Linked DNA regions of Alligator mississippiensis. The protein of the gene in region 3 interacts with the protein of the main gene of each other region in a pairwise test. Links are inferred from orthologs where the notes say so. Each region holds a gene or a part of one and is shown on either strand. Other genes may lie near its edges. The genes, in order: PSMF1, PPP1R37, BEND7 and EAF1.

What was found.
Region 1: the proteins of BEND7 (region 3) and PSMF1 interact in a two-hybrid assay, tested with the Homo sapiens proteins (2 studies listed by BioGRID and IntAct). The two-hybrid records come from large-scale screens. The link is inferred for Alligator mississippiensis from reciprocal best matches to the Homo sapiens genes BEND7 and PSMF1.
Region 2: the proteins of BEND7 (region 3) and PPP1R37 interact in binary tests that used the Homo sapiens proteins (3 or more experiments, as listed by UniProt). The two-hybrid records come from large-scale screens. The link is inferred for Alligator mississippiensis from reciprocal best matches to the Homo sapiens genes BEND7 and PPP1R37.
Region 4: the proteins of BEND7 (region 3) and EAF1 interact in binary tests that used the Homo sapiens proteins (3 or more experiments, as listed by UniProt). The two-hybrid records come from large-scale screens. The link is inferred for Alligator mississippiensis from reciprocal best matches to the Homo sapiens genes BEND7 and EAF1.

The regions. Positions count from the first base shown.
Region 1 is NC_081832.1:1,942,484-1,949,743, reverse strand, and holds the start of PSMF1 (proteasome inhibitor PI31 subunit), read right to left. Parts: upstream 3,193-7,260; 5' UTR 3,163-3,192; coding exon 3,034-3,162; intron 2,889-3,033; coding exon 2,736-2,888; intron 2,544-2,735; coding exon 2,461-2,543; intron 1,846-2,460; coding exon 1,654-1,845; intron 1,009-1,653; coding exon 955-1,008; intron 1-954. UniProt on the Homo sapiens protein: Plays an important role in control of proteasome function. Inhibits the hydrolysis of protein and peptide substrates by the 20S proteasome. Also inhibits the activation of the proteasome by the proteasome regulatory proteins PA700 and PA28.
Region 2 is NC_081838.1:260,353-268,538, reverse strand, and holds the start of PPP1R37 (protein phosphatase 1 regulatory subunit 37), read right to left. Parts: upstream 3,170-8,186; 5' UTR 3,090-3,169; coding exon 2,952-3,089; intron 2,753-2,951; coding exon 2,584-2,752; intron 1-2,583. UniProt on the Homo sapiens protein: Inhibits phosphatase activity of protein phosphatase 1 (PP1) complexes.
Region 3 is NC_081827.1:14,538,449-14,545,521, reverse strand, and holds the start of BEND7 (BEN domain-containing protein 7), read left to right. Parts: upstream 1-3,936; 5' UTR 3,937-4,108; coding exon 4,109-4,169; intron 4,170-7,073.
Region 4 is NC_081828.1:140,259,297-140,267,470, forward strand, and holds the start of EAF1 (ELL-associated factor 1), read left to right. Parts: upstream 1-4,998; 5' UTR 4,999-5,082; coding exon 5,083-5,185; intron 5,186-8,174. Other genes in the region: tRNA N(3)-methylcytidine methyltransferase METTL6, read right to left, coding at 1,027-1,197, 2,263-2,397, 3,377-3,673. UniProt on the Homo sapiens protein: Acts as a transcriptional transactivator of ELL and ELL2 elongation activities.

The DNA.
Region 1 (7,260 bases), on a different chromosome or scaffold from region 3:
GGATCACTCTACATCCACCCCTTGGCTCTTTTCCAGCCCTCCTGCCTGCCCTCCAAAAAGGCAAAAATCTGATCCCGGGCCTCCGGGGCGGTGAGGAGCTGGCTCGTGTCTCCAGGGGCTGGTTCTAGTGTAGGATCACAGGAAGGGACCTCACAAAGTCACGTCTAGTCCAGCCCCCTGCTCACGCCAGGAGCATCACCAGCTAAACCATCCCAACCCGCTTTTGAAAACGTCCCGGGATGGAGATTACACAACTCCTCTGGGCTCCTGTTGCAATGCCTGACCTCTTTCAGAGTCAGAAAATTCATCTCCAGCCTAAATTCTTCCCTGCTGCCACTTGAGGTCATTGCTCCTAGCTCTGCCCAGCTTGGCTGTGTTCCCCTCTGACTGCGGATGGCTTCCCCACAACAGGCGAGGCTGGTGCACACAGCAGACGTGATGCATCAGTCCGGCATCCTCCTGGCCCCAGCCCAAAGGCTCCTGCCGAGCTCATGCTGCAGGGTCACATATGGGACCAGAGAAGGGGGCAAATCCTTCCCCCCTCCCTTCCACCAGCTTTCGGGGCCACCGAGGTGACAGCTGGCAACATGCTAAATGCAAGGCTTACACGCCCTGAGCTTCATGGTCAGCCTCGTCTTATCAGAGGAATTACTGCGTGTTAAATGAATCCAAGCTGATTATTCAGGCGCCCCAAGCTGTAGGAGCCCATTGTGAGATCAAAACCACATTTGGGTTTTGCCAGCACCAAGGGGGAGTCCCTTGCCCTCTGCATGCAGCAACTGCCCCACCGGCATCCACATGGGAAACCTAGGCACGAATTGATTTAAGGGATTTTGGAGGCATCCAATGCATCCCACCCCACCACAAGCAGGACACGGCTGCTCTCACTTCCAAGGGGGCACCGGAAAGGCTGTGGAGGTGGGTGGAGCGCCCCATCTCCCCAGCCATACTCACCCAAAGGGGTCCAGGTCCTCTCCGCCCACTGCAAAGGGGCCCAGGGGAGATGGCCTGCAAGACAAGACACAGTGACTGCGAGGCGGGACACCAGCTATACAGAGCCGTGCACTTCGGTGGGGTGCCACGTGCAGGAGGCAGCGCGAGGGAGCAGGAGGATGTGGCGGACATGCACAGGGTGCGTGTCAGAGCGTGTTAGCAGTGGAGGCTGCGGTTCTTCACTGGGACCATGCCCAGCTCCAGTGTGCTGCAGACCTGGAGCCGGCACTGCCATGGCCAGCCCCAGGCACTGGGCCAGCCCCTGTGCACGTGGACACTGGTGCCGTGGCCTGGAGAGCAAGGCGTGCAGGTCAGTGTCCTGTAGGGCCCAGGTGGGGAGGGGGTTTTCACAGGGCACTCTCCAGCCCCCATTTCACCCACAGCTCCTTGCCAGGGATGCTGGTGGCAGGGTCCTGCACCCCCACGACTCCGAAACACACCTGCCAGCTGAAAACTACACCTGCTGGCTCCTTCTTCTGCCAGCCAACGTGGGCAGACATGGGGTGAGGGGGCTTGGGGCTGCTCCTGCATCCTTCAGAGCCATGGTGCAACACCAAGGCTGGGGAGAAGGCAGCTGGGAGGGGACACGGGGCGCATGGGGGCAGCACAGGTGGCCTCTGTGCTCTGCCACCCCCTTCCTGCCCCCTCCACCCCACTCACCAGGGGGGCTCCCTGCTGAGCGGGGGCTGCCGGGGCGGGATCCTCAGGGGGTCGTAGTCGTGGTGGGAAGCTGGTGGGACCGTCCTCTCCGGCTTGGACTCCTTCTTGTTGTCCTTCTCCTTGTCAGTCCTGAATGGGGAGATGATGCCCGAGACGATCCTCGTCCTCAGCTCCTCCACGTTCTTGTACACCCTGCGGGGACGGAGAGGGATGGCTGCTGGGCACACGCTGGGGCCACCTGCCCCACTGCCAGCCTGAGGGATTGGGGAGCTGGGCCATCGTGCTAGCACAAGGGTGGGCAAAACGTAGCCCGGGGGCCAGATGTGGCCTGCCAGGCCATTCTATCCAGCCTGCGAGGTCCCTAAAAAATTTAGAAAATTAATATTTATCTACCCCCCAGCTGCCTGTCACGTGGCCCTCGATGGCTTGCCAAAACTCAGTAAGTGGCCCTCTGCCCAAAATAATTGCCCACTCCTGTAATGGCAGCTTGCAGGGAGGACAGGGGGGAACAGGCGCCTCTCATCCCCTGGCTGGCCCCGTCCAGGCACACGCTCCTCTACCCTGTATCTTCTTACAGGACCCCCGTAGGGGTGAGTGCGATGGGAACGTGGCACCGCACATGTTCAAAATACCGCAAGGACCCACTGAAAAGCCCGTGGCCCCTTGGCAGACCCGGCCCATGGCTGCAGCTACCCACGTGTGGGCGCAAAGCTTCCCCGCTCGCAGCCAGGGACGTGCCGGGCTGCCCCTCGCTGCTGCCCCTCCCTGGCTCTCAATGGCTCCAGCCCCGCTCGCCCGGGCAGTTACATGTGGAAGTCGTCCAGGTGCTCCGGGTCCACGTAGTCCGCCACGTTCAAGGTCACGTCCGCCACCTGCAGTGAGCTGCGGTCCTGGGCGAGGGCAAGGAAGGGCCGTGTCAGCTGCCAGCGGATGGGAGCAGGCGCCACGGCCCGCTCCCCGCCTGCACACCCAAGCTGCCAGGGCAGCTGGGTCCCCGGGGCACGTCTCCCACCCGTGGCGTCGGGGATGGAGCTGCCTGGGCACGAGGGAGGGCCCCGAGCTCCCCCCAGGCGTGGGCTCACCATGACATTGAGGATCATGCTGGTGTCCACCATGATGGCCTTGAGCAGCAGCTCCTGGCTGTCGTCCTGGGCCTGGTACCGCAGCGTGTACAGCTCCTTGTCCACGTGCCACCCTGCCGGCAGCAGCTCCGACTTCCTCTCGTTGGGACCCGCCTGGGGGGCAAGCACGGCTCAGGGCGGCGGCATGCACAGACCCCCTTAGGCCGCCCCTAAGGGCCTGCCACAAGGGACGGGTGCCGTGCCCCAGCACTGGCAGAAGCGAAAGCGAAAGCGGGCTGGGGGGTCGCCCCGCACTCACCCGGTCGCCGGCGCCCAGGCAGCGGTAGCCCTGCGTGACCAGCTCCCAGTGCACGGCGCACAGCAGCGCGTCCTGCGCCCGGCTCAGCCCCGCCAGCGCCCACGCGTGCAGCACCTCCAGCCCCGCCATGCTCGTTCCCGGCTGCGCAGCTGCGCCGCCCCGCCCCGCCCCGCCCCGCACGGCACCGCCTCCTGTGGGCGGGCACACGCTGCGGGAGGGGCGGGGCGGCGCGGGGCGGCGCGGCACACACGTGGGCGGACGCGTGCGTGTGTTGGGGGGAGGGGTCATTGTGTGTGCGCATGTGTATGTCTTGGGGGGGGAAGAGCCAGTGTGTCGGTTGCATGCACGTGTGTGTGTGTGTGTGTTGGGGGGCCAAATGTCAGGGTCACACGTGGGTGTGTGCATGGGGAGGGCAAGAGCTAGGATCACGTGTGTATGTGTGTGTGTTGGGGACCAAGGGCCAGGGTCACGCATGGGTGTGTGCATGGGGAAGGGGAGAGCTAGGATCGTGTGTGTGTGTGTGTGTGTGTGTGTGTGTGTGTGTGTGTGTGTGTGTTGGGGACCAAAGGCCAGGGTCACACATGGGTGTGGGTGTGTGCATTGGGAGGGCGGGAGTTAGGATTGTGTGTGTGTGTGTGTGTGTGTGTGTGTGTGTGTGTGTGTGTGTGTGTGTGTGTGTGTTGGGGACCAAAGGCCAGGGTCACACATGGGTGTGGGTGTGTGCATTGGGAGGGCAGGAGTTAGGATCGTGTGTGTGTGTGTGTGTGTGTGTGTGTGTGTGTGTGGGGGGGGGGGGGGGGAAACAGGGTCATGTGCATGTGGTGGGAGGCCAAATGCCAGGGTCACATGTGAGTGTGTGCATGGGGGGGGGCAAGAGTTAGGATCATACGTGTGTGTGTGTGTGTGTATTGAGGGGCAAGGGCCAGGGTGACACGTGCGTGTTGGGGGGTTTGCCCCCAGGAAGGAGGCAGTGTTTTCCGTGTCCCCAACCCGGAGGCCGGCCCCTGCCCCTGCCCCGGCCCGTCCCCTCCCTGCACCCGGGCAGGGCTGGAGTGAAGCGGCTCCAGAGGTGCCTGGCAGAGAAGGGCCGCACTGCCCGTCTGCACAGCGCTAGTGGTGCTGAGCATCACGCAGATGCACGCGTGAATCCAGCGCCCACGCGGGGCCCCGTGCCAACCTGGCTCCCAGAACCGAGTTTGGAGGGAGGGTCTGGGACCGGGCGCTGCCCTGCATGTCACCGACCTTCCCAGGCTCCTGCCTCTCCTGTGGGCCCTGCTCCGGCTCCAGGCGCGGGGATGCAAAGGGAGGTGGGGGAGGCCGGCAGCCTGGGGCCCTGCCGGTTTATGGCCTGGCGGTTGCTGGGTGACGGGTGAGGTGACAAGGGCCCCGAGTTCCATGTTCTGAGCTGTCCCAGGGCTGGGCACGGCCTGTCCTCGCCCCTGCCCGCAGCCCCTGAGCATCCACGCGGCAGCTGCATCCATGCGGCAGCCGCTTCCAGGAGGCAGTGGGATTGCCCTGGGAGAAGTGGGGCTCACGCGCAGGTGCCCGGGCAGGATCCAATCCTTTCCCCTGCGTGTGCATGGCAGAGGTGCTGGGCAGCGGGGCTGGCAATGTCAGCATCCTGTTACAGGAGCCGGAGCTGGCTCCGGGCTGGGTGCGAGCTGCTCCAGAGGGTAGGATTCGTTTCCCCTTTCCTGTGTCATCTTTCCAGGCTTCTCTCTCCATCATCCGGAGCGGCGCGGCACGGCACACGCTAGAGGGCTCCCGATGCTTTTGCAAACCCCACGGACGCTCCTGCCAAACCCCTCCCTGCTCCAGCTCCTCTCCCTGCAGCTCCAGGGATGCTGCAAGTGGAGCCCGTTGCTCCTTGTTCTCTCATCTGCCACCAGCCCAGCCCCATCCTCTTTGGGACCACCTGCAGGGAGCTGAAGGCTGCTATTCAATCCCCTCTCGGTCTTCTCTTCTGTAGACTCAATCGGCCCAGTTCCCTCAGCCTCTCCTCACCAGTCCTGTCCCCGGGCCCCAAGCCATTTTCGTTGCCCTCCGCTGGACTCTCCAATTTGTCCACGTTGGAAGCTGTCTGGGTTTTGGGGAAGGGAGGTGGCTGGTTGCTGCAGACAGGACCTAAGAGCCAGGGGTGCTTCACTTGGGCTTTGCAAGTCCCTCCTGGCCTGTCTTTCCACAGGCCCAAAGAGGCTGCCGACACGGGGTGCCCTGCATGAAATGCAGAGCCTGGACCCAGCTGCAGCTAGCGGGAGTGTTTGGAGGTCAGGGCATTCAGAAAGCAGCCCCTGGGATCCCAGCACAGCAGCCAGGGCCTTTGGGTCCCAACATCCCTGTCCACAAAAGGGGATAACGCTCTTCCATCTCGGGGGGCCGTGGGAGGCTCCATTCATGATGCCCGCACAGTGCTTGGAGCATGGAAGCTCTTCACAGGCGGTCAGTGCTGGTCTTATCTCAGCCCCCAGCTAACGAGGGCTATCTGTCTTCTTCCAGAGAAACGGCTTCCCTGGTAACCAGCTGCCTTCCACCTTTTCCTGCGGTTATCCCAGTCCATCGGGGTCTCTCGTTGGATGGGGGAAGAGCAGAGTTTGGCTGCCTGGCTTGCTCGTTCTCACCACCCTTCCCTGCTGCTGATGCAGGACGAGAGCAAAGGGCCCGAGCCCTGGATCACACCTGACTGCAGATGCACCCGGCAAAGGGGACACAAGGTGCCATATGCAGCTCCAGAAAGTCACTGCAAATAGCACCTGCTGCTGCCTCCAGTGCCCTCATGTCCAGCTCGGCAAACATGGACCCGAGAGTCTAACTTGTACGTGCATTTGATTCATAGATTCATAGACGTTAGGGTCGGAAGGGACCTCAATAGATCATCAAGTCCGACCCCCTGCATAAGGGGGACGGACATGCACGTGTGGACTTTGCACGTGCAGCTGCTGGATGAACATACATCCAGCAGCTGCACGTGCAAAAGGGCCAGTTCTGGTTTGCAGACCAGCATATACAGTTGTGCCCTCTGGGCCTGCAAAGCAGACGTGCATTTTCAACCAGCAGCTATTAGAAAACCATTTGCAAACCCACTGCCTATGGTTTGCTAGAGTCTGATCCATGCTTTTGCACCCCCGGCCTCTCCGAAGCAGGGCTTGCCACTAGCAGACCAAGACATTGGCTGACAGAAGCTATTTTAAAGAAAAAGAGTGTATCGCACCACATCCAAGTGGCCTTCGAGCTCACCGCTGAGCTTTTAGACTAACAGCCCCTTTGGCATCTCTCAGACACCTATCGCAATAGCACCAGGCGGCTTTTCAGCAGTTTATTGTAGCAAGGCTATTTCTATGCCTATCATGACCTGCATCATTTCTAATATATGCACCGGACTTCCTCGCTGTGCAAGGAGCGGTTGCAATAGCTTCAGTAACTTTCCTTTCTAGACCCAATTCATTTCCGCCCATAGGAGCTCGGCGGCAGATACGTTGTCAGGAAAGCGGCAAGCCAGACGTCACTGGGGGCAAGTCAGAGCGGTCCAGACCGAGCTGGCGTATAGGAGGGATGCTCTTTGGGAATCACCACGTTGGCTCGTAGAACGGACGGCTTCCTGGATCTCCCTGGCTTATGGCAAATAAATCTTGCACGCTTAATTTCATGAGTGTTAGGAAATGGGCTCTGCTCAAAGCGAGCTTTTCCAGAAAGCCCCTGCCTTCCCACCTTGGCAGATACCCAAAGGCCCAATGCTTTTCCCTGTTGGGACTCAGGGAAGTTTATGCTCTGGACTTTGGTGGGAGTAGGTTTTGGCTGGGACAGCAGGGCAAGAGCATAGCATTTCGCTGCAGGCACCCTGTCCTTTCTGGAGTGGAGCTCCCTGCCCTTCGGGAGGCTGTGATTCAACATAATTAATAAGCACCGAGTGGAGATAACTCAGGGCAAGTCCTCCGGCTCCCCTGGAAGATGCACCACGCCTGAAGGAGCGATGCCTCACAGCCGCCACTCGCAAGCATGATTCATCTCCCCTCGTGGCAGGGCCGAGGCGGAGTCACACCTCTTGCTAACCTCGCCTGTCTGTCCTGGCTCCCTGCGAGGCTGGAAGCTGTCTCTGACGCCCTGGCTGCGTGGGAGTCTGTAGGGATCCGGCCTCTGGCTTTGCACCGGATGCTCGTGCAGCGAGGAGAGGCCCGGGCGCCTGCAGAAATCCTGTCTGCGGGAGCTGGAGCGTATGCTCTCGACTTCATG
Region 2 (8,186 bases), on a different chromosome or scaffold from region 3:
GCACCTGCTGAGAGCACTGGCATTTAGGACAAAACAAGGTGGCAGCAGAATCTCCTTTGCACATAACAGCCTGAGGATTTGAGTGCTCCCCGGGAAGTGGCAGCCCCTCAATAGAGACCCTCAGCCCAACGGGAGGTCAAACTGCAGTGGGAGGCCTCTAACCTATGAGTTGCAGGGTAGGCTGGGATGAGCCACGCTCCACCTCTCCTGACTGATGCTGCTCCGTGGTGCAGAAAGGAACGCAAGATTCAGAAGGCCAGCCGGTGCAGCAAGGGGAGCACGATTCACCAGTAACGAGGGCACTACTCTGGGAGGAAGGAGTCCTGGGTTCTGGCCTGGCCCCTAAGCCTCCTCACGCATTTCACCCTTGATTAAAGCATCCAACATTCCCTACTCGCTGTACAGTCCTAGAGCCGGGCACCCAAGAGCCTGGGGCAGCAACACTCCGGATCACTGTGTGAACCTGGCTCTCTGTGCCCGTGACACACAGGGAGCACGTGTTTCCAACCTGCCCCATGACTGTCAGGAGTTCAGCCAGCCAAAGACAACTTATCTGCCCTAAGTAGGTCTCTTGCACCATATGCTCTGACATCATTTTAAACTTAACTGTTAGTCCCTCGCTATCAGTACAGTGGCACCAGTGCAAGCATCATATCCCTATCGCAGTGCTGCCCACCCAACCGTGCCAGGACAAGAGCTGGGAAATGAACAGCTGGCCATTCCATATCCATCCACCCCGTGCTCTATTGTACTCTACCATCATCCGTTTCCTGTTCACCACTTTACTGAGCACGACAGAAGTTAGCAGAAACAAAACCTTCATTTTAACATGACTCCCAGGAATACAGTTATTATACACAGTAAATTAAAAGGAACGGTCACTTAAAATGTACTGATTATTTCTGTTGTAAAAAGAATGTTAAGATCATTGCATTACTCACCCCCCCATTGCAGTTCTTCATAATTATGCCTGCTGCTGCAGTAACTAAAGAAATTAAATACTTCATCTGTAAATGCAAGCTTGTCACTCAAAAGGCAAGTTACCCATTCACATTTATGTAAATACAGCAGGATTTATGAAAAGCAAGAGATATCTTCAGGCCTGAAGTATCATTATCCCCTCCTAGCATCTGACCCAATTTTCAAAAGGCAAGTAATACTTTTATTTAGGGAAGAATAAGTCTTCAACATTTCTCTCCTCCATACTATGGCAGAAGAATACAAAGAATGTCAATAAAATTACATACATGGTGAAATAAAGTTTCAGGCCATTAGGAACCAATCCACCTCTTTGTTGCAAACACAACAGAGATTAGCAGAATTCAGTACTGTTAGTACCACCCCTGTACGGGATGACCCGTCTCTGTCCCTCTCTCGTTAAACCTACATTTAGAAACGCTGACAGAGTTTCTCTAAGCGGCGCTGCTTGGTGCACTTCCCTCACGGAGCATGCCCAGTAACAAGCAGCACAGGACAACATACCTGAGCACATCAAGAACCAAGCAGTCCCATTTAATTTGGGGAAATAAACCTGGTGCTTGTGAAATACTGATTCATTAGCCAGAGGCCGTCAGTGTTCAACAACAGAAAAGGTAAAGAGCATTTCAGAAAGACTGCTTTTTAAAAAGCAAAGGTAGGAAGAGAATACAACTTCTTTGTAACCGGTTCAAAATGCCACCGTTTCTCAGACGCAACACCCTGATCTTTTGCACCTCTGCTTCAACAGCTTCCCTCAAAATCCGTTCCCAGAACAAGGAGGTGAAGTAATCCTGGTCAGACAGACTGACATTCCTTCAACACCGAGCACATGCAGGAAGCAAACAGTAAGGGCACCGACTACATCGTATACACCATCCAGTTGACAAAAATTATTTTAAAAGTTAAAACCATGCAACACATTACTTGAAGGTAACATTAGCTTTACATGACTTCAAACTAATTTACAAAACTGAGGTATTAGCAGTGACTGTTGGGTAAGTGCACTGGCTTTTAATAATGGTAGCAGTATCTCTTTTTGTAGCATTGACTGAGTTCAATAACTATAAATCTGGAAGGTCAGTGAGATGTTTGCTTTTCTGCAAATGAGCTAAGCAAAATAAAGAAAAACAGGAAGAGAGAGAGAGAGACCGGCATGAGCGGTCTTAAGAAAGGGGTTTTATTCTTACAAGCCACCGGTTACAACAGAAGTTGGACAACTCTGTCCGGACGCAAGAATGCAACTTATAAAACATCCACCTCTGTTTAAAAGCTCAGCACGCCGCCAGCAAACACCAGCTCGGCGTGCACTTGGGACTGCTAAAGCCGCACGACTGGGCACACCTGCACAAAGCCTGCGCGCGGCCCCACAAACAAACCCGGCCGTTTTTTCACCAGCTAAAACAAGCCTCAAGCTGCGTCGTCCCGTGTAGCAACAAAGCGCTTGCAACGTTTTCTAGCACCCCGGCGAAGTCTCCGGCTCTAACAAACAATTTGGGAAGCTCGTGCCCCGCTGTGCGTTGAACCCAACCACGGAGACGAACGCAGCCTCTGACAGGGCTGCAGCAGCCACGCGCTGGAGCCGGGTTCGGCAGCCTGGGACCCTACCGTGCCTCCAGGGGTCCTTGGGCTCCACGGCCCCCGACACGATGTCCTCGTCGCAAGGAAACGTCACCCGCTTCGCGCCAGGCTTGAGCTTGCCGTCCTCGGCGGGAGGAGAAGCCTGGGCCGGCTGGGCCGGGTCCGCGCCCGGGCTCTCCGCCTCCGGGGAACAGTTCTGGGGGGAAGAGACGCACGGGGCGGAGGGGCTGGCACCGAGCTCCCTCCTCACCCTCGGGGCACCCCTCGGCGGCAGCCGCCTGGGGCCACGCACCCCCTGGCACCCCCGACCCCATCCCAGAGCCCCCCCACCCCCCTGGGGGAGCCCCCTCACCCCGACCCCGTCCCAGAGCCCGCCAGCCCCCGGGGCCCCGCACCGGCGCCTCGCCCTCCCCGGGCGGCAGCGGCAGCAGCAGCAAGTCGTCGCCGGGCGGCGCGGCGGCGGGCTCCTCGGGGCCCGTCGCGTCCCCCAGGGCCCGGTCCCCCTGCGCGGGGGGCCCCCGCGCGCCCTCCATGGCCGGCGCCGGCTGTGCGCGCTCAGGCGGGCCCGGGCGGCATGGCGGGGCCGGGGCCGGGCGCGGGGCGGCGCTCGCGGGTGGCGGCCCGTCCGCACCGGGCCCGGGAAGGCGCCGCAGCGAGTGCGCCAGCGGCCTGCCCGTCCGCGCCCGCACTTTCCACGCGGGCCCGCGCCGCCGCGCGCCCCGCCGCACTGCTGCCGGCGGCGCCCCGGGGGGACGGGGGGGGGACGGGGCGGGGCGGGGCCGGGGCCCGACGGCCGCGGGGAGCGGAGGCGGCTGGTGGCGAATCGGCGGCGGCGGTTGCTCAGCCCTTGGCGGCGGCCATCGCCCGGCGCGGCAGCCGAGCGCTCCGGCACAGCACTTTCGCCGCGGAGGCGGGGGCTCGCTGCCGCCCCGCGGAGGCGAATGGAGGGCTCCGCCGCTTGTCCGCGCGGGGGCAGGCCCGAGGCGGCCCCGCGACAGCAGCAACGCTCCGAAGGGAAAAAAAATAAAAAAGGCACGAATCCGCTGCCGCGAACACGCGGCCTCACGCAAGCACACGTCACGCACGCCGACGCCGGGTGCCGGAGGGGCCCTTTAAGGAAGGGGGCGGGGCTGTGCCTGGCGTTCTTCTGCGCATGCGTCGCGCGGGCCGGGGCGGCAGTTCCGGGTTGGGCGGCCACGTGGGGTGCGCGGGCCGGGCGAGGGGCGTCCCCGCTCCCGCCGTGAACGTGCCCCTCTCCGGGCAGAGCCGAAGGCACCAACACCCGCGCGTCGCCCCGGCACCGGCTGCATCCGAGTCCTTTCCGTTCCGACTTCACACAGCTGTAGCCGCCGAGACCCGACAAATAAACGCATCCGTCGGGCCGGTCTGGTGACGGCCGGGGTCACCAGGCTTCCCGCTGCCGGAGGCGAAGCCTGGCCGGCCGGCCCCGCACGCCGCGACGCGGGAGCCCGCAGAGCAGATGCGGCTCCAGGGGATGAAGCGGGGGCACGGGCCGGGTGGAGGGAAGGGACCTCGGCGGGCACGTCTAGTCCGGCCCCTGCGCCGAGCAGGGCCAGCCCCAGCTCCTCCTCGCGAAGCGGGGCCGGAAGAAGCGGGTCGCGGGACACGAAGCGCGGCGGCTGGGGCGGCGCGGCCGGGGGAGTTCAGGCTGCACTTTAGGGAAAGCTTGCTGGCGCGGCGGGTGGGGAAGCGCTGGGGCAGGCGCCCAGGGGGCGGTGGGATCGCCGTCCTCGCGGGCGTTGAAGACCCAGCTCAACAAAGCCTTGTCGGGGCTGGCCTGCTTGGAGCGGGGCTTGGACTAGACGTGAGCTCCCGTCAACCTTCGTCGTGTGCGCGCGAGGGGACGTGCGGGACAATTGCATAACTGGGTCACCAAGCCTGTTGTCCGTTGAGCAGGGAGGGGGAAGTCTCTTGATGTCTTGTATGAAATGAGAGGGGTTGTCTCAGCCAAAGGCCTCGCTTTGAACTGAAAGATGGCCCCGATTGGCCTGGAACAGATCAGTTGCTAAAACTCCTCCCAAACTTGGAATCAGCTAAAGCTGCTCAAGCCAACAGGCCCGATACCCTCGAAGAAGACGGCCCGCTTGATGGCGTCGAAGCAAACCGGACCGAGCCCTGAAAGGGAGCAAACTAGGTGAATACAGTAATGAGGGGAATCGGTCACCAGCAGGATCAGGAGTAACCCGAAGGAACCGAACGGGCAGAGCTACAGGCTGCTCTGGGTGCGGAGCCAGGCTTTACTGGGACAGGAGGGTAGGGGGTTACTGCTAGCTGTGGGGGCGCGCGGCGCAGCTCTGCGTCATCCGACCATGCTCTGACTTAAAAAGGTAAAATGTATGAAATCCCTGGTTTGTGTAAGAGACGCTGGAATTAACGTATCCCAGTGTTAATCCCCCAGGCAGCAGTCGGACCAGCTGCCTGACCGCGATTAAAGCTATTTTGGTCACAAACTCTCCGCTCCTGCTCTGTTCCAGCTTCCTCGGTAAGGGGCTGTGCTGGCCGCAACAACAGGCTGAGCCAGAAATGGTCTCAGCTGGCCACTTTGCAATTTGGAAAATGCAGAGACCAGTGCACCCCACATGAAACACTTGTCCAGCACCGGGATGGCTAGGTCCTATCACGTGTGACCCACGAGCCATGAAGCTGCATCATAACATTGGAGAACACATCAGACCAGAACAAGGCGGGTTAACTTGATGTCCTACAAAGTGGCACACCAAAAGCATGTCTGGCGCACAGATCTGCCTTGACCTGGCGTGTTTTTGGTCTCAGCCCGCAAACACAGTCTGCAAAATAGAGAGCGGTTACGTTATCGCCACAACCGCAGCACCCATCCAGGGAGATGCATCCTGTTAAGAGCACTGCAAAAACCTGCCTGGCACCTGTGCCCTGCTAGCAAGCCCGCGAGCCTGGTGCAGAAATTCCAGCAGCTGGTCACAACCCTATAGTTTAGAGTGAATTAATTCCATTTTGCACCGAAAACTGGGATTCATCCTGCTGGTTTTGATTAAAAATGATGGCATAGCCTCCTCAAACTTACTGCACTTTGGGTAAAGAGAATGGATTAATAAAGAACTTCAAGAAATCAACAGCAGATTTATATATAAGTTATAAGTAATTAAAAACTGAATACCTCAGGAAAGCTACCATGAGGTGGCTTTTTTCTCTCCTGAATAACCTTCATAATGGAATAATTCTGGTTTTTCAGCATTCCCGGTTAGTTCTACGACACACAAATCCACACACAGGTGCCGTTAAAGTGTTCAAGCCATCCTTGAGTTAAGCCGTAGCAATTGCTGTGTCTTGCTGTGGCTTCGGGCAGGGCTGGTTGCGCTGCCCGCTATTGAGGTTCCCATTATAAGACCCTGATTTCAGTGATTTGTGTCTTTGTCGAGCCGTAGCTGCTCGGGCTGTGATTTCCTGTAGAAAATTACAGCCTAAATTACAACAGCTGTTTCTGAGCATGAGGCTAGGGTGAAATAAGGTTTTTTTGCCTGTTAAATAAAAAGCAGCGGTAATGGGGGTTTTGGAGCACTCCAGCACCTGCATTCGTGAGAGGAGGGTCTTGAAAGCAGGGTGCACTTTGCCTCGGGGATGTGTCTTCTGCCGTCCCCGTCCAAACCTGCTCAGATTTGGCCGGGTTACGAGCCTGGAAGGATCATAGCTGGCACGCGCTCAGTAGCGAGACGGTGGAATTCTCTTACCCTCAATGCACCCAAAATGCAGCTTTCCAGCTGCATGAGCAGCATGTCCAGCACCGAGGCCTGGCTTCCAATTTTGTTACACGTGCAGCACAAACGTGTATCGGTCTGCACAGCCATGGAGCACGTGCAGGAGGCTGCACGTTGTTGGGTGTGCACGGGGCTGTGCATGTGCAGACCTGAGCATGAGATCAGGCCTCTCAAATGCTGCATTAGCCTCTTGGCTGCTGGCACCAACACGGCAGGGCTGGTGGCTGTGGCAAGAAGCCCGGCAGTCTAGATCCGCATTGCTAGCTCATTTTGAGTTGGACACCCCTGTCCTAGTGGTTTGGGCACTCACCCAGAAGCTGCGAGATGCAGGGTCTATATCAGCTCCTCACTGCGTCTCTGACTTCAAGCACAGCCCTCGGACCACCAGGCTGGAGGGCACACATTTGCCAGGCTCTTCTCCAGCCTGCTTGAATCGGACCCACTTGGGGCCAGGAGGAAGCACACAAACTGGGGGGAGCGCGGCTCGGGGAGAGACGAGCACGTATTTGGGTTCTAGCTTAGACCCTTTTCCCCCACAAAAAGGGCAGCCACTTCTCTCCACTCGTTTCATTCAGCGCAGGCAGGAGCCACAGAGCTCCACGAATGCTCCCCACTGGCACCGGCCCACGGCCGCACAGCCCCGCCTGCCTGCCCCTGCTCCCGTGCGGGTGCTGCTGGTGCAGCAAAGCTGGGGTGGGCAGTATGCGGGCCCACGTGCAGGGAGCCCCTTCTGCCTGCAACGGCTCCCTGCCCTCTCTAGCGGCACCCGCAGCCGTCCACCACCATGTCCTCATAGGTCTTCAGGACAACGACGTCGTGCTGGCCCAGGTAGAGCAGGGCCACGGGGCTGAGCATGGTGGGGACGCAGCAGGTCCATGGCACGCTGGCATTCACCGAGCTGAGCAGCGTCTGCACCATGGCGTGGCTGGAGGAGTTCATGTGTGCGGCCAGGGGGAAGCGGCATTCCCCGTGGCAGTAGAAGGCATGGTAGCCACTGAGAGCCACGATCCAGTCATCCCACCCCATGTCCCTGAAGTCCACAAACGGGGTGCCTGTGGCACCAGGCCGGGCCTTTCTTGGTCTTTGGGCTCTTCCGCTTGCTCCGGGGCCTGGGAGACCTCCTGCCTGCTCTCCCATCTCGGCTGGTGGCCTGACCTCTGCTCCGCTTGCCCCAGGCACTCAGGGCCTTGCTCCTCTGGTCGTGACTGTAGGTGACCAGCAAAGGCCGTTCTGGGGCCCACCGCCCCTCGGCCTCCCTGGGGGAGCGTCTTGCTCGGAGGTGCAGGTCCCACAGCGAGCTGCTGTTTCTGTGAACCACCTCCACCAGGAACCCGAGCTGGCGCTTCCCCACTCGGACCGCAGCTGTGACGTCAAAGCTCTGCCACCTCGGCTGGTCCTGAGCCACGACGCGGTGCTCCAGCAGCCAGTGCTGGCCCCCAGCCACCTCGGAGGGGTCCGGCGCGTGGTACAGGCTGATGCGAGAGCCTTGGGCCACCATCTCCTGGCGGGAGAAGCGCAGCTCCAGAGCCAGCAGTTCCTCCTCGTCGGGGAGGCCCGAGATGTTGAACAAGACGTAGGACCATCCTGCCGCTCCTCCGTCCTCAGGGCCCCGCTGCTGCCCACCTGCACAAAGCACACAAGCAGCGCGGGCTGGAGGGGAACTCGCAGCTGCAGCTTGGGGCCGCGCGTGCGACATGGGAGGCCACATCCGGAGCGGGTGAGTCACCCACGTGTGCCCCGGGAGAAACCCCCTCAGCAGAAGCAGAGCAAGGGGGGAGCTGCCACGGGTCCCTGGACAGCCCCGTGTGTCCAGAGAGCTCGCGTCCCCTGAGCCCATTTCCTAGCGGCAGTCGGGGCCGCAGCAGGCGAGCGCGGGCT
Region 3 (7,073 bases):
AGGTGGGGCAAGGCAAGAACAATGAACATTTTGACTTTGACACAAATGTGCTATTGTCGTTCTAAGTCCCATTCTAGGTGTCTACAGAATAAAAATACCAGTGTCCCAAAAGATACTCCCAGGTCTAAGTGTACTTGAAAACTGAACGATCCCTTGAGAAAGATATTCTCTTAGGTCATGGTTGAGGTGGCTTGGCAGTGTGGGATGGAATGTAGGCTCTGCAGTGACCGATATCATACCTGCTCTGTAGATAATTAGAGGACTTTGACCTAAAGGACTGTCAATCTGTCATCTTGTCCTAGTTTCTAATTCACGCCCGTACAGATCACATTGCAGGATCAGGGTTTAGGTGTCTGGGTCGAAAAACACATGGGGTTTACTCACATGAGGAAGTTTTCTCCTGTGCGGTAGAATCAGGCTCTTGGTATACCCAGGAAACTGCTGAAAATAATCATAACTGAAGTTCTGTCAAATGCACAATTTAGGCCAACTGAGCAATAGAAAAAAAATAGTTTTTCACTAACTCTTACTGCAGTAATTGTAGATGTTACTTATAATCATGGAGTGCACTCAATCTTTGTACAGATATGTAATTTCCACAATTGACAGTGTCCCTTTAAGAAAAAATAAATAAAACCCAAAGAGAAAGAATCAAAAGGGAAGACAGACACCAATTCCATTTTGTCGCATGAGTCTCTCTTCACAAATCATGTCCCAAAGTGTTTTACAAAACTGTCTAATACAAGACAAAGAATGGCAGGAAAAACAGAAAAGATCTTTTTTTGGTCTGTAGCACATTCCTTAGGTCAGTGTAGAGTTGAGCCTATCATGTGAGCTGAACAGCAGTGAATGAAGGCCTTATGCTTTATTAAATTCTCCTATTGTCCCATTAAAGATGAGCACAAAGCATAACAGTCCCAAAGATGTTTTAAGTCTTTTAAGTCAAGTTGGCAGAGAAAAATCAGTAGGGATTAGACCCTGATGAGTACAAGCAAACTTAAAACAATGGAGCAGTGGAGTTTAAGACCTGGCTTCATTGAAGTTACGTTGGGGATTAATTGTGACCATTTAATTTAGCAGACAGTAATAGTAATGGCAGCTCTATCACTCCCTTGTGTGCTATTACCTATGGAAATGTAGCCATGCTAGCCCAGTGGATTATCTAGGCTTGGGAAGACCTGTTATCTTCTATGTACCTGCCTCTACTGCTTCAGCATCCACACCCAAAATACATAATGCAGGCTTGAGCGAGCCTGTTAGCCCAGTTTTCTTTTATAAAGTATTACACTGAAGTTTAGAAAATTTCCAAAAGCAGCATCCTGCCTTAGGGACTGTCCACTTAGGAACTTCATTTAAAAGGACATCCCTGTCCAAGCCCCTTAGAAAGGGGCTATTCTAGAACTTGATGAATCTCACCTATAGGCTTATTTTTTCAACGGTGCTATTTGGTGCCAGGTCTGGTTTCTACTTTTTGTTCGTGCAGTACGTAGTGCCACATGGATCTGGTCCAACTGAAGTTTCTACAAAAACTGTGATACAAATAAATAACGGTAATATTCAGTCTGTTTTCTTTGTATTACTTTCACCTCATTCTTCCTAGCCAGTGCACGACCTGCAGTACTGAACTATGGACGTCAGTGGACGGTCAGGGTGTTCCTCTTTAAATACCTGCAGGCACGTTTTGTGCCCGTTTAGGGACTTGCAGCAGGGATGAGACAAAAGATTTTGATTTGGCCTGAGTTTTAAATTGTCTGAATCCAGGATTGTGGTCCCTGCATGCAGTGCACTTTCTCCCAAAGGTGTTCTTGATGTACTGATTGCAGTGAAGTTGCACCAGGGGTGAAATGAGCTCATTCTGTGTAGCAGGTAGCACAGGATATCAAGTACAGTAAACCCCTAGCAGAGGTGAAGGTGTAAACTGGTGACTAAATTAAAGCATTTGCTTCAGTTGTGTTCAGATGATATAAATCTTAGGTTGGCCTTCCTGTCGCACCTTTTTTGAGGAAGGCACTTTCCTTTGAGCAGCCACATCAAGGGAAACTGTGTGAAACTTTGTGCACTCAGTTCGCAGAGGCTCCTGCCAAGCTTCTTCCGATTTTACTTTGTGACCTCTGCCAGGCAGAGATTAACCTCAGGGGCAATTGAAATGGGCACACCCTTGTACACACGATGAGCAATACAAATAAAATCAGAGGGAGATACTTTCAGCCTGCAGTTTCAGGGAAAACCCAACTCAGAAATGGGGGTTGTCAGCATAAAAAGGTTGTACTAGGTGAACAGCTGAGCATGAGGAAGTGAACTCCGGCTCGTGAAAGTTTGTACTCTCTCTCTAGGTATACATGGTATTCAGTTAGTCTGTACATGGGCATATCTACAGAGACTCCAGACTAGTCCAGTTAACCACTTCTCTCTAAGCAGACACTCCCAAGGTGGTACGTAAGCACAACTTGGTAGGATGGATGCAAAACAGTTTGCATGTCCGTAGCTCCTCCTCTTTGTTATTTAATGGGCTTTAGAAACAAGGAAGGGAACACAACCTCCCAGCATGGGGCAGCCTGACCCCAGGCTAACTGGATACCTTTACCTCGGGGAGAACCAAGGCACCTTTACCCTGGGATAACATAACCATGTACCTTTACCCTGGGATAACTAGGGCACCTTTACCCTGGGAGAACATAACCAGGTACCTGTACCCTGGGGATAACTGGGGGCACCTTTATGCCAGATTAACTGCAGACCTTTACCCTGGACTAACATACCAGAGCAACTTTACCCAGGAAATCCACATCTTTACCAGGGGATAATTAGGCACCTTTACCCTGGGGTTAACTAGGGTACCTTTACCCCAGATTAGCATAACTGGGCACCTTTACCCTGGTTTAACTGGGCACTTTGACCCTGGAATAACATAGCAGGGCAACGTTACCTGGAATAAACTGGTACCTTTACCAGGGGATAACCAGGCACCTCTACCCTGGGGTAGCAGGACACCTTACCCCCGGATAACATAACCAGGCATCTTTACCCCAGATTAACTGGGTACCTTTACCCCAGATTAACATAACTGGGCACCTTTACCTGGAATAACCCAGTACCTTTATTAGAGGATAATTAGGCATTTTTACCCCAGAATAACATAAGCGGGCACCTTTACCAGGGATAACATAACAGAGCACCTTTACCTGGAATAACCCAGTACCTTTACTAGAGGATTATTAGGCATCTTTACCCCAGATTAACATAACTGGGCACCTTTACCCCGGGATAATATAACAGGGCACCTTGACTCCAGGTTAACTGGGGTACCTTTACCCCAGATTAGCATAATTGGGCACCTTTACCCCAGATTAACTGGGCACCTTTACCAGGGATAACATAACCGGGCACCTTTACCTGGAATAACCCGGTACCTTTACTAGAAGATTATTAGGCATCTTTACCCCAGATTAACATAACTGGGCACCTTTACCCCGGGATAAAATAACAGGGCACCTTGACTCCAGGTTAACTGGGTATCCTTACCACAGATTAACATAACCGGGCACCTTTATTTACGCTGGGGTAACTGGGTACCTTTACCTCAGATTCACAGCACCCGACCCCTTTCCCGGGGATCACATAACAGTGCAACTTTACCTGGAATAACCCGGCACCTTTCCCCCGGGATACCGTGTCGGGGTAGCTGGGGACTCTTGCCCCGGCGCGCTCCCTCCCCAGCGGGCCCGGGCCCCTGTCCCTCCCCGGGTCCCGGCGAGATGGCGGCCGGCGGCGGCGGCGCGGCGGGCCCGCGCGGGGGGCACAAGATGGCGCTGCCCCCGCGCCCCCCTCAGGGCCCCCGGCGCGGCCGGGCGGGGAGCGCGGCGCCCAGCAGGTGGCAGCGGGCCGCGGGCCGCCATCGCCGCCGCCGCCGCCGCCGCGTCCCCGGGCAAAGTTTGGGGCGCGGGGCGGGGCGGGGCGAGGCACGGCTGCCCCACGCCCCTCGCTGCCCGCCCGCCCGCCCGGAGCCGGCTCTGGCGGCCGCCGCCGAGCTGCTCCAGCCTCCCCCTTCCTCCTTCCTCTCCTCCTCCCCCTGCTCCCGCCGCGGCTCCCGCTCCTGCCTGCGCGCACCATGGAGTTCACGGAGAGGAAGAGAAGCAGGAAATCCCAGAGCTTCAAACTGATCAACCAAGGTAAAGTGCAGCCAGGCTGGGCGGGGGGAGGGTATGCTTTCCCCCCAAATTAGGAACCCTCCCCCCAAATTAGGGCAGAGGCTGTCTGTGTGGTGTCCCCCCCCCCCTTCCCAACTCTCCCCACAATTGGGCTGGCTTCAATTGTAGGGGCAGCTCTTGTACAGGATAAAGTTGGGTTTCATTTCATTCCCCCCCCCCAGAAAAAAAGGGGGTTCAATTTGAACCATTCAAAAAAAAGGGGGGGGATGACAAGGGTCTGCACCCCCCCCTTTTTTAATATTATTATCTCTTGCGTGGCCGCTGCGCACCTACCTCCACGTCTGGCTGGGAGAGAGGTTTCATGTCCACGCCACTCGTTTAATTTGAGGGCAGAGGGAGGGGGGCTGGCTGGCGTGGGACTTGTTGGATTTGGGGGAGAGGGGGCATTGCTGTATTTTTAATTTTATTTTTATTTTTTAATTTTGTCCCCCCCCCCCCCCTTACACACATATACACACGCACACCCCCCGCTTCTCCTCATTCATGTCGGAGAAATGCACCTCCGTCTTCCAGTCCGTCTCGAAAATCGGAGGCTGTCTGGGTGGTTTAAACAGGTAGACCTGGCTTTAGGGGGGGCAGGGGTTTGTTTCTTGCCACCGCAGCCGATGGAGATGTTTTTCGCCCTCCTTGATCCGGCTGGAGATCTTGTAAAGTATCGAACTGAAATATCTCCATGAAATGCCGGATGTGTCCTGCATGCCAAGTTGAAGGCAGAGTCTCTTTGGTGTCATGTCACACTTTCTGAAAAGAAATGCCAGAGGTTCACAACTCCTGTGTCAAGATGAGGAAGAAGGGGTGGGGGGGGGGGGGGGGGGGGCGGTTTGCCGCAGGTTATGCAGGAACAAGTGTAAGAAAGGTGGGTCTAAAATGAAAATAATCTCACTTGAGGAAATCGTGAAATTTTTTATATATATATATATATATATATATATATTGTAAATGCGTAACGTAACAGTGGAGCGTTTGCATGGTGAACGTGTAGATTTGGTTTTTGTTCAGCTGGGTGAATACAAGCTTGTACAAAGAAGCGCTTGCCAAGCTACAAGTAGAAATGCACGAAGGATCATAGAGAAGTAGGGCTGGAAGGGATATTAAATGCCAAGGACTACATTTATTTTTCAAGCAATAAACCTGCTCCTGCATTGCTTGTGAACCCAAGGCTGAAGAACTGCGCTTAAAGCAGCATGAGGATTTGAAAGTGAAACTGATGAGAAACAAAAGTGAAACTGATTAGTGTATTTTTATTTCCAAGCTGAAGGAACTGGTGAAAAGTGTAGAATAACCTAAATAATTAAAGACAAATAGATATTTGACAGATAGTTTTAACCGTAACGTAAGTTAAGTCATTTAATTCTAGATAAACTAATGTTCGGTCGTAAATTCTCAGTTATGCTTGGCTTGTCTTGGAAATCTTCTTCTTGTAGAGATGTAAAGAGACCAACTGTGCCAAATCCAATTTCTGAAGGAAACGTATTTGGATTCTCAGAGAGTCCAGAAGATAAAAACCGTGTTTTAGTACAGTAAGATGACATTCTCATGTACTTTTAGTATTTTTCCTTTTCTATCAGAGTTGATTACCAAGATAATTATATATATGATTGTTGTCTCCCTTGTAATCAGCCTGTGCCTCCTGGCTGAGTCACTCAGTAATGTCACAGTTTAATGTTTACTGTTGTGAAATTGATATGGATTTCACAGGCCCTGGACTGTGACATCTGAGGCAGAAGGGGACTGAAAAGGAAGCCCTGTGCTGTATTTATTTAAAAATATATAAACTATTGTCATTGTTCTCCTGTTTCATCTCAAAGAATCTCAAAGCACTTTACCACCCTGATCATACCAACTGTGCATGTAGAGATCACTTTATTCTTTTATTGAGATGTAGCCACCTCTGGAGCAAAATGCAGTAACTTTAACAGAGTAGCTAAGAACCAAAAGTGAACGTATCATATTTGCTGGAGACAACATATAATTTAAACTTTGTTAATCTGCCAGTCCCTACTGTCCAGGTACTGATAACACACTTTTACCCAATCTGCATCAACAGGAGAAAAAATAAATAAATAGAATTTAATGACTGGAGAACAGGACTCCGGTAAATTCTGTGGGGTTTCTTATTTTGGAAAAGTGACTTAGGAAGCCGGGTTTGGCTCTGTATGTCATACAGCCTTGTTAGTCTTTACTCCCCCAGCACACCCCATCCAAAAATCTTCCAAGTAAAATCCTTATTAAGTGTGACTAGTCACCATTCCCCTTAAATTTGCTTCATATCCATAGAAGTCTTCCTTCCCTATAGTCGCATCTCTCCCTATTTCTCACCTGTATTGATGTTATTTTTTATTCTGATGCAGTGCTGGGATCACATCTTTTGTTTTTCCTTTCTTTTGTGCCTAGTGCTTTACACATAAATAACAATGCGTAATAAGAAAGATTTAATACAGAGGGTCTTTAAATTCTGGACTTGATTATTTTGTCAGGGTTGCAGGTGTGTTTCTCATGAAAGGAGCAACTGCACATAATACTCTTCACTTCTGTTGTGCCTTTTATCTGAGTAGCTCAAAGCACTTTTCTTTGCATTCATTAATTTCCATAACACCTTTACGAGGCAGGTAAGTTTGATAAAAAACCCAGTCCACAAAGAGAAACACTGGGATGTAGGGAATTAAAGGACCTTGTCCTCTGAGATGCTGAGTTCCCTGCATTTCCATTATAAGAACAAGAAGCTAAGAACATCCAGCATGTCAAAAGAGCTGCTTCGTGCTTAATACTGCCTGGTTCCAAGTGACATGCCCAAGGTCATAGAGTATATCAGTAGCAGAGCCAGAAATAGACTCCAGGAGGCCTGTCTCCTAGTATTTCCTGCCA
Region 4 (8,174 bases), on a different chromosome or scaffold from region 3:
GACCTAATGAACCCTGTACCTGTTTGCAACTGTAATCCAAGTCAGTTTTCGTCCTGCACTGTGACCATCAGCGGTGTAAGTAAAGCAATCTATTTGTTCAACCAATACGCTTCGGTGCCTAGTTCCTGTCCGTCGGTCAAAAAGTACCCGCCCGCCGTTTCGGGCTGCTGGCCACAGCCCGGCCTTCCGGCCTTGCCACTTGACTGCCACAGGTTAAAGGAGTCAACCGCCTTCACAAGCAAAACAGTGATTGGGCTTTCAGCGTTGTTCAAACTTAAGAACTATTCCCTTTATAGAAAGCAACCTTAGACGTATGCCAAAAGCTAAGGTTCCTTATTCAAACTGTAACTGATATGCTATACAGAATATCCTGTAATATATAAGGATAATGAATTCTATAAAATACATCATACTATTTTTTTCTGGAAAACGTTGCAAACAATAAAAAAAATGTTATCAGCACAAAAATTGAGTCTTTCTTCCCAACAACTGGCTGATATTTTTTGGATTACAGTACTATCTATAGTGCACTAACTGCTTTGCATTTATCAGCTCTTTGTTACAGGGACAGTCCTGCAGGATACTGAGCACTTTTAACTAGAGTCAAAAGAATTTATCACTTTGTTGAATGATGTTCTATTGCTCCTCATTTGTTTCTCATATAAAATCTAAGGATATGATCCATCCAAAGGCTTACGTACATACTTAACACTGTAGGGTGTGAGCAATCCCATTGTTTTACATTACATTTCAGTGGGACTACTTAGTCTACAACATTAAGTCCATATATGTTTGTAGGATCAGACCCTCAGTCATTACCAACACACACACAGAGCCAATCTCTCAGATTTACTAAGTGAAAAATTTAGTGCAAAATTATTTTAGTCCCTGCAGGAAGCAAATATAACTACTGTAATTACATTCAGAGTGTGTTACGTAAAAGATTCCATTATGTCACAGGACCTTTTCAGAATAGAATGGCTCTTTCAAACAAGAAAGAAAAATGTTAAATCATACTTAATTTACCTTGTAAATATTTTGCAAGACCAGATGCATCTTGTCAGGGTGAATGGCAGAAAGCACAAATATTAACGTGACAACATCTACAGAATCAGCTGGTATATTTTCTAGAAGGTCATCTTTGGTAAGATCACACTGGAAAACTTTACACCTCTCAATATTATATGAAGGGTTTTTCTAGGAAGTGAAAATATTTTGCTGAAACCATAATTGAAAAGAGCAGCATTTATTATAAAAATAGAAAAAAAAATAATTTTGATTTTTTCCTTTTAATCAGGAGAATAACAAAAGGAATATGACTGCAAAAGTAAATTAAAACTTTCTGGTATGAAAATTTTCTGCTTGAGATGAGGTACACACAGCTCTTTTGCCTAAAACTGGCAATACAATCCATTCTCAATGATTTGGGGAGTAAAAGAAATAGGAAAGAAATTGGCCTGTTGTCCATCTCTTATGAGTCTTACAGGTACCTCTAACCTACCAACCTCACTCTAAATTAAAATGGAATTCAGAGTATTTGGAACAATTTTGCAAAATATAGTCCTGTAGGTCAGATGGCATACAACCAAATTCAATTTTTAATTTCTTTTACCGACTGGTCCTTTGAAGACATATATTTACATCTATAGGTTGATTTTATAATTATATACTTCTGCATTTGGAATTTATAGAAAATCAAGAGAATCTTAAAGGCCCAATGTCTCTTTAAATCTTTATGAAAAATATTATAATGTCTATAATTAATATAATAATTAATAATGAATAAATATAAATAGTACTGCTCTTTCTAGTTGATCTACACATTTCTTTGAAAATAACTTCCGTGTCACTGCTTTCACAATCACCTTCATCCACTACCTCTCACAAAAAAATTAAAGTATAATTTATGAACATATATCCTAAAACAAATTTTGCTTGTACTTTGAAATTTATGGTTTGCATTGAAACAGTACTAGTCCCAACGTAACTTTTAAGGACTATCTAAGCAGAACAGCTACTCACACTTATTACTACAGAAACACAGTTTATTACTACATAAGTCAGGTTCTATGTAATGATTCAATTTCTTATATACAGTGTTAAGCTCCAGTGTGTCCATTTCATACTTCCATACCTTACAATTTACCATCTTTATAGAAGAAAAGGAACCAAGCAATGCAATTCTATCATTTCTGTAATGTGGAGTTTTACAGAGCCCAACTTTCTGAAGCAGCACTAAAAAAACAGACATAGCACACCAACCTTCACATATTCAACAGCTCTTGGAGAGAAGTCACAAGCATAAGCGAAGATATTGAAGTCCTCTTTTAAAAGTGGAAACAAGCAGTTCCCAACCCCACAGCCTGCTTCAAGAATAGTGAGTTTCTGATTTTCAAACTAGAGGTGAAAAAGAAGTCAATACATACCGTATCGCTTTTGTTTCATCCTCAAAATGTAAAGATACAGATTGTCACATTTTATAGTTACTATCAGTTTCACTTATCATCCGTTCAAAATCTGAAAAATCCTTTCACTTGCAATTTGACATAGGAAATACAGGCTTTATTTTGTGCTATCTTATGTGTCTCTACAGAGCCATTAATATGCCATTACTCATCTATCCATTTTGGTAATGAGCAAGCTACTGTATCTACTTTACCTCATCTCTGATTTAATAAGGTGAACAAAGGATACACCTCAATGCTTTTTTTTACATGCATATTTTAATATACCAACAGCTCTAGCTAGATGACTTCATATTAAGGTGAATTAACAACTTTTCAAATTGTGTTTAAAAATCTTAGATCTGAGCTATGTAAACTCTAATATAGGACACAGGAGAAAATATTCCAGTCTGGTTCTGAATGTATAAGACAGGTCAATTATAAATACAGACTTCATAAAGTGATTTAACTTTTTTAAATTTCTGAAGCCTTCGAGTAGGCAACAGTCAAAGAGGTACTGAAAGTGCAACTGAATGCATGATGCAGCATGAAAGACTTGAAGTATAACAGTAGAAGCCACTGTCACAGCTTATCTGATCTGTAAGGGGGACTTGAAATCATTTGAAGATGACTGGAAGGCAAGGATTTTTTTAGGGCAGTATCTTTTATTGGACCAACTGCATAGTTAGGATAGAGTTGGATAAAACTTTGAATGCAAGGCATTTTTCATTAGATGTCTTGCACTGGAAAACTTATCCAACTCCATCCCAACTATGCAGCCGATCCAATAAAAGATACCACCCGAAAATATATCTTTGCCACCCAGTTCCTGGACCATCATAGCCACAACATCACTCTAGCACTACCATAACACTTGAAAATAATTAGCAACATCTGTTCCTTTATTTGTAGAACTAGTGCACATAGCTCACCTCTCGGCATGCTTTTAATTCTTCAAACTCTCTGGTTGTCCAGTGTCTGTCTTTGAAGAAGTTGGTGCTATTCCTTTTGTAAAACAGATCCCAGTTCTTCTGGGCCTCTTTCTCCAGTTTTGATTGTTTGAAGTCAGACACTAAAGTTTGATCTCTTGCGAGTTTCTCGGCTTCTTCAGCGCTAAGAGTCCTTATGCTGTGCGCTTTTTTTTGGAAAGCGTCGCCTTCACAAGTTGGGGCTATTACATTTGGGTGATTGGCAGGCACGTCTTTCTGGGACATTCTGAATTCATCCATATGAATGTGAACACAGCAGATTTAAAGTGGTTTTCTTCTTCAGCTGCATATTTCCATTTCTATTTCAGATAAGGCAGCCTAGGCCCTACAACTGTCAGAAGGAATGAAAAAGAAATTGTTATTGTCTTCACATCTTGGGGGGAGGTTGTTCTGCTCTAAATGCCAAGCTAAGAGAGTATCAAGCCCGCAATGCTGACGCTTCCACAAAAGTTCAGAAATATCCAACATGAAAAAACCAAACTGCATTCCAATCTTTTCTGCGCCTCACTTAGAAGCCATTAAAAAGCAGAGAGGCCATAACCCCAACTTATTTTGACCAAAAGCATAAAGGAAAATAATGTCAAATGGGGCTCCCTTTCTTGTTAGCACCAATTAGCCTCACACAAGGAAATTCAGTACAGGAAACATGGGGAGGCTTTAAGAGTTCAACTTAAAGTTTAGCCACATCCACATCAACCTTTTCATCCCTGGTTTCCCCTGCTCAGAGCTCCACATGTGGTAGCAATGATGGAAGCACTAGTGCTTAATGAAAACAGTCTCAAATTTGCTCACAACTTCATTTTCCTAAGAAAATGAAGCAGTGTGTATGCTGAGACCACAAGTAAGAGGATGCTTGTAAAAATGGTACTATCCTCCACATCGAGGTCACAACCTCAGTTTATGGCCTATATAACAAAACAGCTGAAACACCAGCAGGCAGTCCACATTAGCGCTCCTTCTGTGACCCCTACCTGTGAGGCCGCACCGGCGGTAGCGACCCATGTCAGAAGAAGACGGTGACCTGTTTGGGAAGAAAAGGCTGTGGAGAACATGAGACTAATCTTGGGGGTGGGAATCCCACTTCCAGAATCAGGGAAGGAGCAGAGCTCCCAATGCCAAGTGCTTTGCTGGCCCAGCCTGGCTTGACCCTGGCCCGTCACCCCTGGCTCCACGAGTTACCCTTCACATCGCAGACCCGAGGTCCTCGTGTTATGCGACGGCCTTAGAAGCGAGCCAGCGCCCGTCAGCCTTCGCCAGCCTACAACAGGCACCCGCCTCGGCAGCCACTATTCCTCCCGCCACGCGACAAGGGGCGTCTTCTCCTCCCCCAGACCCTCCAGTCAGTCACGGCGGCCCCGGCTCCCACGGGGGCAGGCAAAGGAGAGGAGCCCCGGCAGGCGGCTGAGAAACGGGGGGCGTCGCGGGCCCTGGCTGTAGGAGCGAGTTGGGCAGGCGGGGCCCAGCCCCGGGTGCTCGAGGCCCGCCCAGGCTGCAGGGAGCCACTTCCCGGCCCCAGGCCCTGCACCGCCGCGCCGGCCCGGACCGCTTTCCCCGCTGCACTCGCCGCCCGGAAGGAAGGAGGGGACGGGGCGGGATCGGAGCGGCAAGGCGAGGCGGGGCCGGGCCGGGCCGGGCCGGGAGATCGGGGCATGAACGGCGCTGCCAACCCGCTGCTGGATCGGGAGGAGCACGGGCTGCAGCTGGGCGAGAGCTTCGAGCGGCGGCCCAAGGCCTCCTTCCACACCATCCGCTGTGAGTGCGGCCGGCCCGCAGCTCTGAGGGGCCGCCGCGCCCATCTCCCCCAGCCCGAGACCGTCCGGGGCAGGCTGGGGCCCCGTGACCTGCCTCAGCTGCAGGGCCCCGCTGCTGGGGCAACGGCGGAGGGGCTGAGGGCCGGGTGCTGTTGCTGGGGTTGGCCTGGGGCAGGGTTGAGCCTGGGGTAGGGAGGAGCAGAGGGTTGGACGAGTCCAGCGGTTCTCCGCTTTGTTTTTGTACCAGGACCCCTTTGTAAACCTTGGTTCCCAGTCCCGACCCAGTGCCCTTCGCTCCCGTGTGGGGCAGGGGGTGGATGCATGGAGGTATGGGGTGGGGGGCAAGCAGCCCTTTGCAGCGTCTGAGGAAAAAGCCATGGTTTCCCACATGTTAAAGCAGTGGTTTCATATATCCTTGCGACTGATTTTTGGGTCACGACCCATGGGTTGAGAAGCGCTGGACTAGATGACCTCTGGAGGCCCTTTCCAGTCCAGCTTGTCCAGGATGCTGTCGTCGTCCTGCCCTTAAAACCTGCTGGAGGCACAGGCGGGAAGCGGGGTGTGACTAGGAGAGGCTCTTCAACCTCAGCAAATCCTTAAGGGTTTTCGTGAGAAATAGAAGGAAAAATGCTGAACGTGTTCTGGGCAAGTTGAATTGAATGGAAGTGTGTGAACCAGTAATTCAGATTTCCTTTCGGAGTGAAGAAACTAGAGGCTTCTGAAATGATCACTATAAAGAAACAGGGAAATCAAGAAAACTAAGATAGGGATCACTGGAAAATTAGGACTAGGTGAGACGAGTACTTCTTGTATGAGATGGTTTGGAAAAGCAGAATCCTGCCTAGCGGGACTAGATGACCTCTGGAGGTCCAGCCCAACCCAACTTTGGTGTGATTCTAGGACAGAGCATGTGTGTTTGGGTTCTCACCACTACTTAATATTATTGGTTATCAGAAAGAAAACACAGAAGTTGTTACTGATCAGATTTGCAGATAAAACGGGAATAGATCAGTAGGTCACTAAACTGCTTCTTCCTTTGTATCTCTCTAGTGTATTTTAACCAGTTAATTTCATGTCCTTACAGCAGCAGGACATTGACAGTGCCCTTGTCCCCCTGCTTTACCTGTGGGAATTTAAGGAGTTTGTGTTTTGGGGCATTCTGCCTAGTAGTTGCATGAGAGGGCTGTTCATGCATTTTTACAAATAGGTTAGATAAACACTTGTATAGGATGGTTTAGGTAGAGATGACCCTGCCTTGAACAGGGAGCTGGACTTCCAGGCCTATTTTTCTATGATTGTATGTATACCTTCCCCGAACACCTCATCTGGGTACTTCTAGGAAAAGCAGGGGAGTTTCTAGCCCCTCCATCTGTGGAAAGCTGGATGGAAAATAGAAAACGCTTTGGAGTTCAGTGGGAAAAGGCCATGATTTTATCTAAGGGGGCGTAAAGCTAGTGTGTTCATAGGTAAACTAACAAGACACACAAAGACCAATAAACTCTCCAAGCGAAAAGTGCTTGTGGGCCATATATTTGCTCTACCAGGCACCGCTAGGAAAGAAGCCTGGTAGTGAAATCTTTTGTCAGTCACCCTTGCTCCTACCATTTCCCCCCTGTAAGAGCAGAGAGCTTGACAGGATCCAAAGTCAGAGATCTCCAATAAAGGGTCAGAAATGCACCTCTCACTCAAAGAGAAGTTTCATTAGACTGCCCATGCTGAACGGCTGGCTTCTTTCTTTTGGCGCACAGACCAGATGGTGGGGCGGGTGTTGATTTTCTGTGGCTACTCTTGTGTTCCACACAGTAAATCTGTAAAGCTACATTAGGGGAAAACAGCCACTAGTTTTAGACTACAAGGTTCTTTGGATAAACCTGAGGACATGGTTTGGTCTTTGGATGAAAAGAGTAGGAACACAAGTTAAATCTAGTTGCCATTTCATTCTCTTGTTGTTTGGGAGTGCTGAAAGGGTATGGAACAATTAAGCTTTTTGTCATTAAAGTCAACAGCTTTTATTCAAAGTGAGTATCTCTTTAGAAGAAGTTTGTTTGTTTTAGGTTTTTTTGCAAGCCTACCTTTTGTGTAGAGTTGCATTTTACATACCTCCATGGAACTGATGTTTTAACAGCAAATACAATAATTAGAGATGTCTTGGCTGTGCAATTTTGTATGCTGAGACCAGAAGTAAAAAATGCTTGTAAAAATGGTAGTATCCTCCACATCTGGGTCATGATCTAATTGTACTATAGGAGCTTAAACCATTTTTCAAAACTTTAAACATTGTGGTCATATGTTTATGTCTTTATCTTCATATCTCAGTAGTGTGGTTGAATAACTAACTGAAAATCTCTTTTGAAATTATGTTTATTTGAATTAAATGTTTTGTATTAGCAAAAGTTCCTAGGGTCTTAGCTTACACTAGTTCAGAACAACAAAGTATGCTCTGTTCAGTCAAACTAAAACCCTTGTGAGCTAAGGCCACTTTTAGGGAACTGGGGACTCTAACATGTCATGACACAAGGCCTATATTGCCATCGGCCCCACTTCGGTATCTTGCTTGTCCCCCACCCCCAACCTGGACTTGCCTTTCTGCTCTCCCCACAAGTGTCCATCCTCCTGCCTGAGGAGGGGAAGGGGAACACAGAAGGACCCTAGGCAATACTAACCTGAGCAATCACAGAGTATCTTCATAATAACCTGAACTGACTGAAGTTGTCTTTTGTCACACTCGAGAGTCCTCTGGGGTGTTGTTGACAGGGCCCCTATACTTACTGTGTTCTGGAGTTAACACCCTACTAAAATATGTAGAGCAGTTCTGTGCTTGATTTAGGCCACCTGCAAACTCAGATGTCACTGTGCCTATTTAAGCTTTTCATATTTACCTTTTTGTATGTACCTATTTAAGCAACCACAGGGTCTAGACACTAAGGTTGTGTCATCTTAAGTATATGTGCATGCTCCCAAACCAGGGGCTAGTTATCCTGGGCATAGTA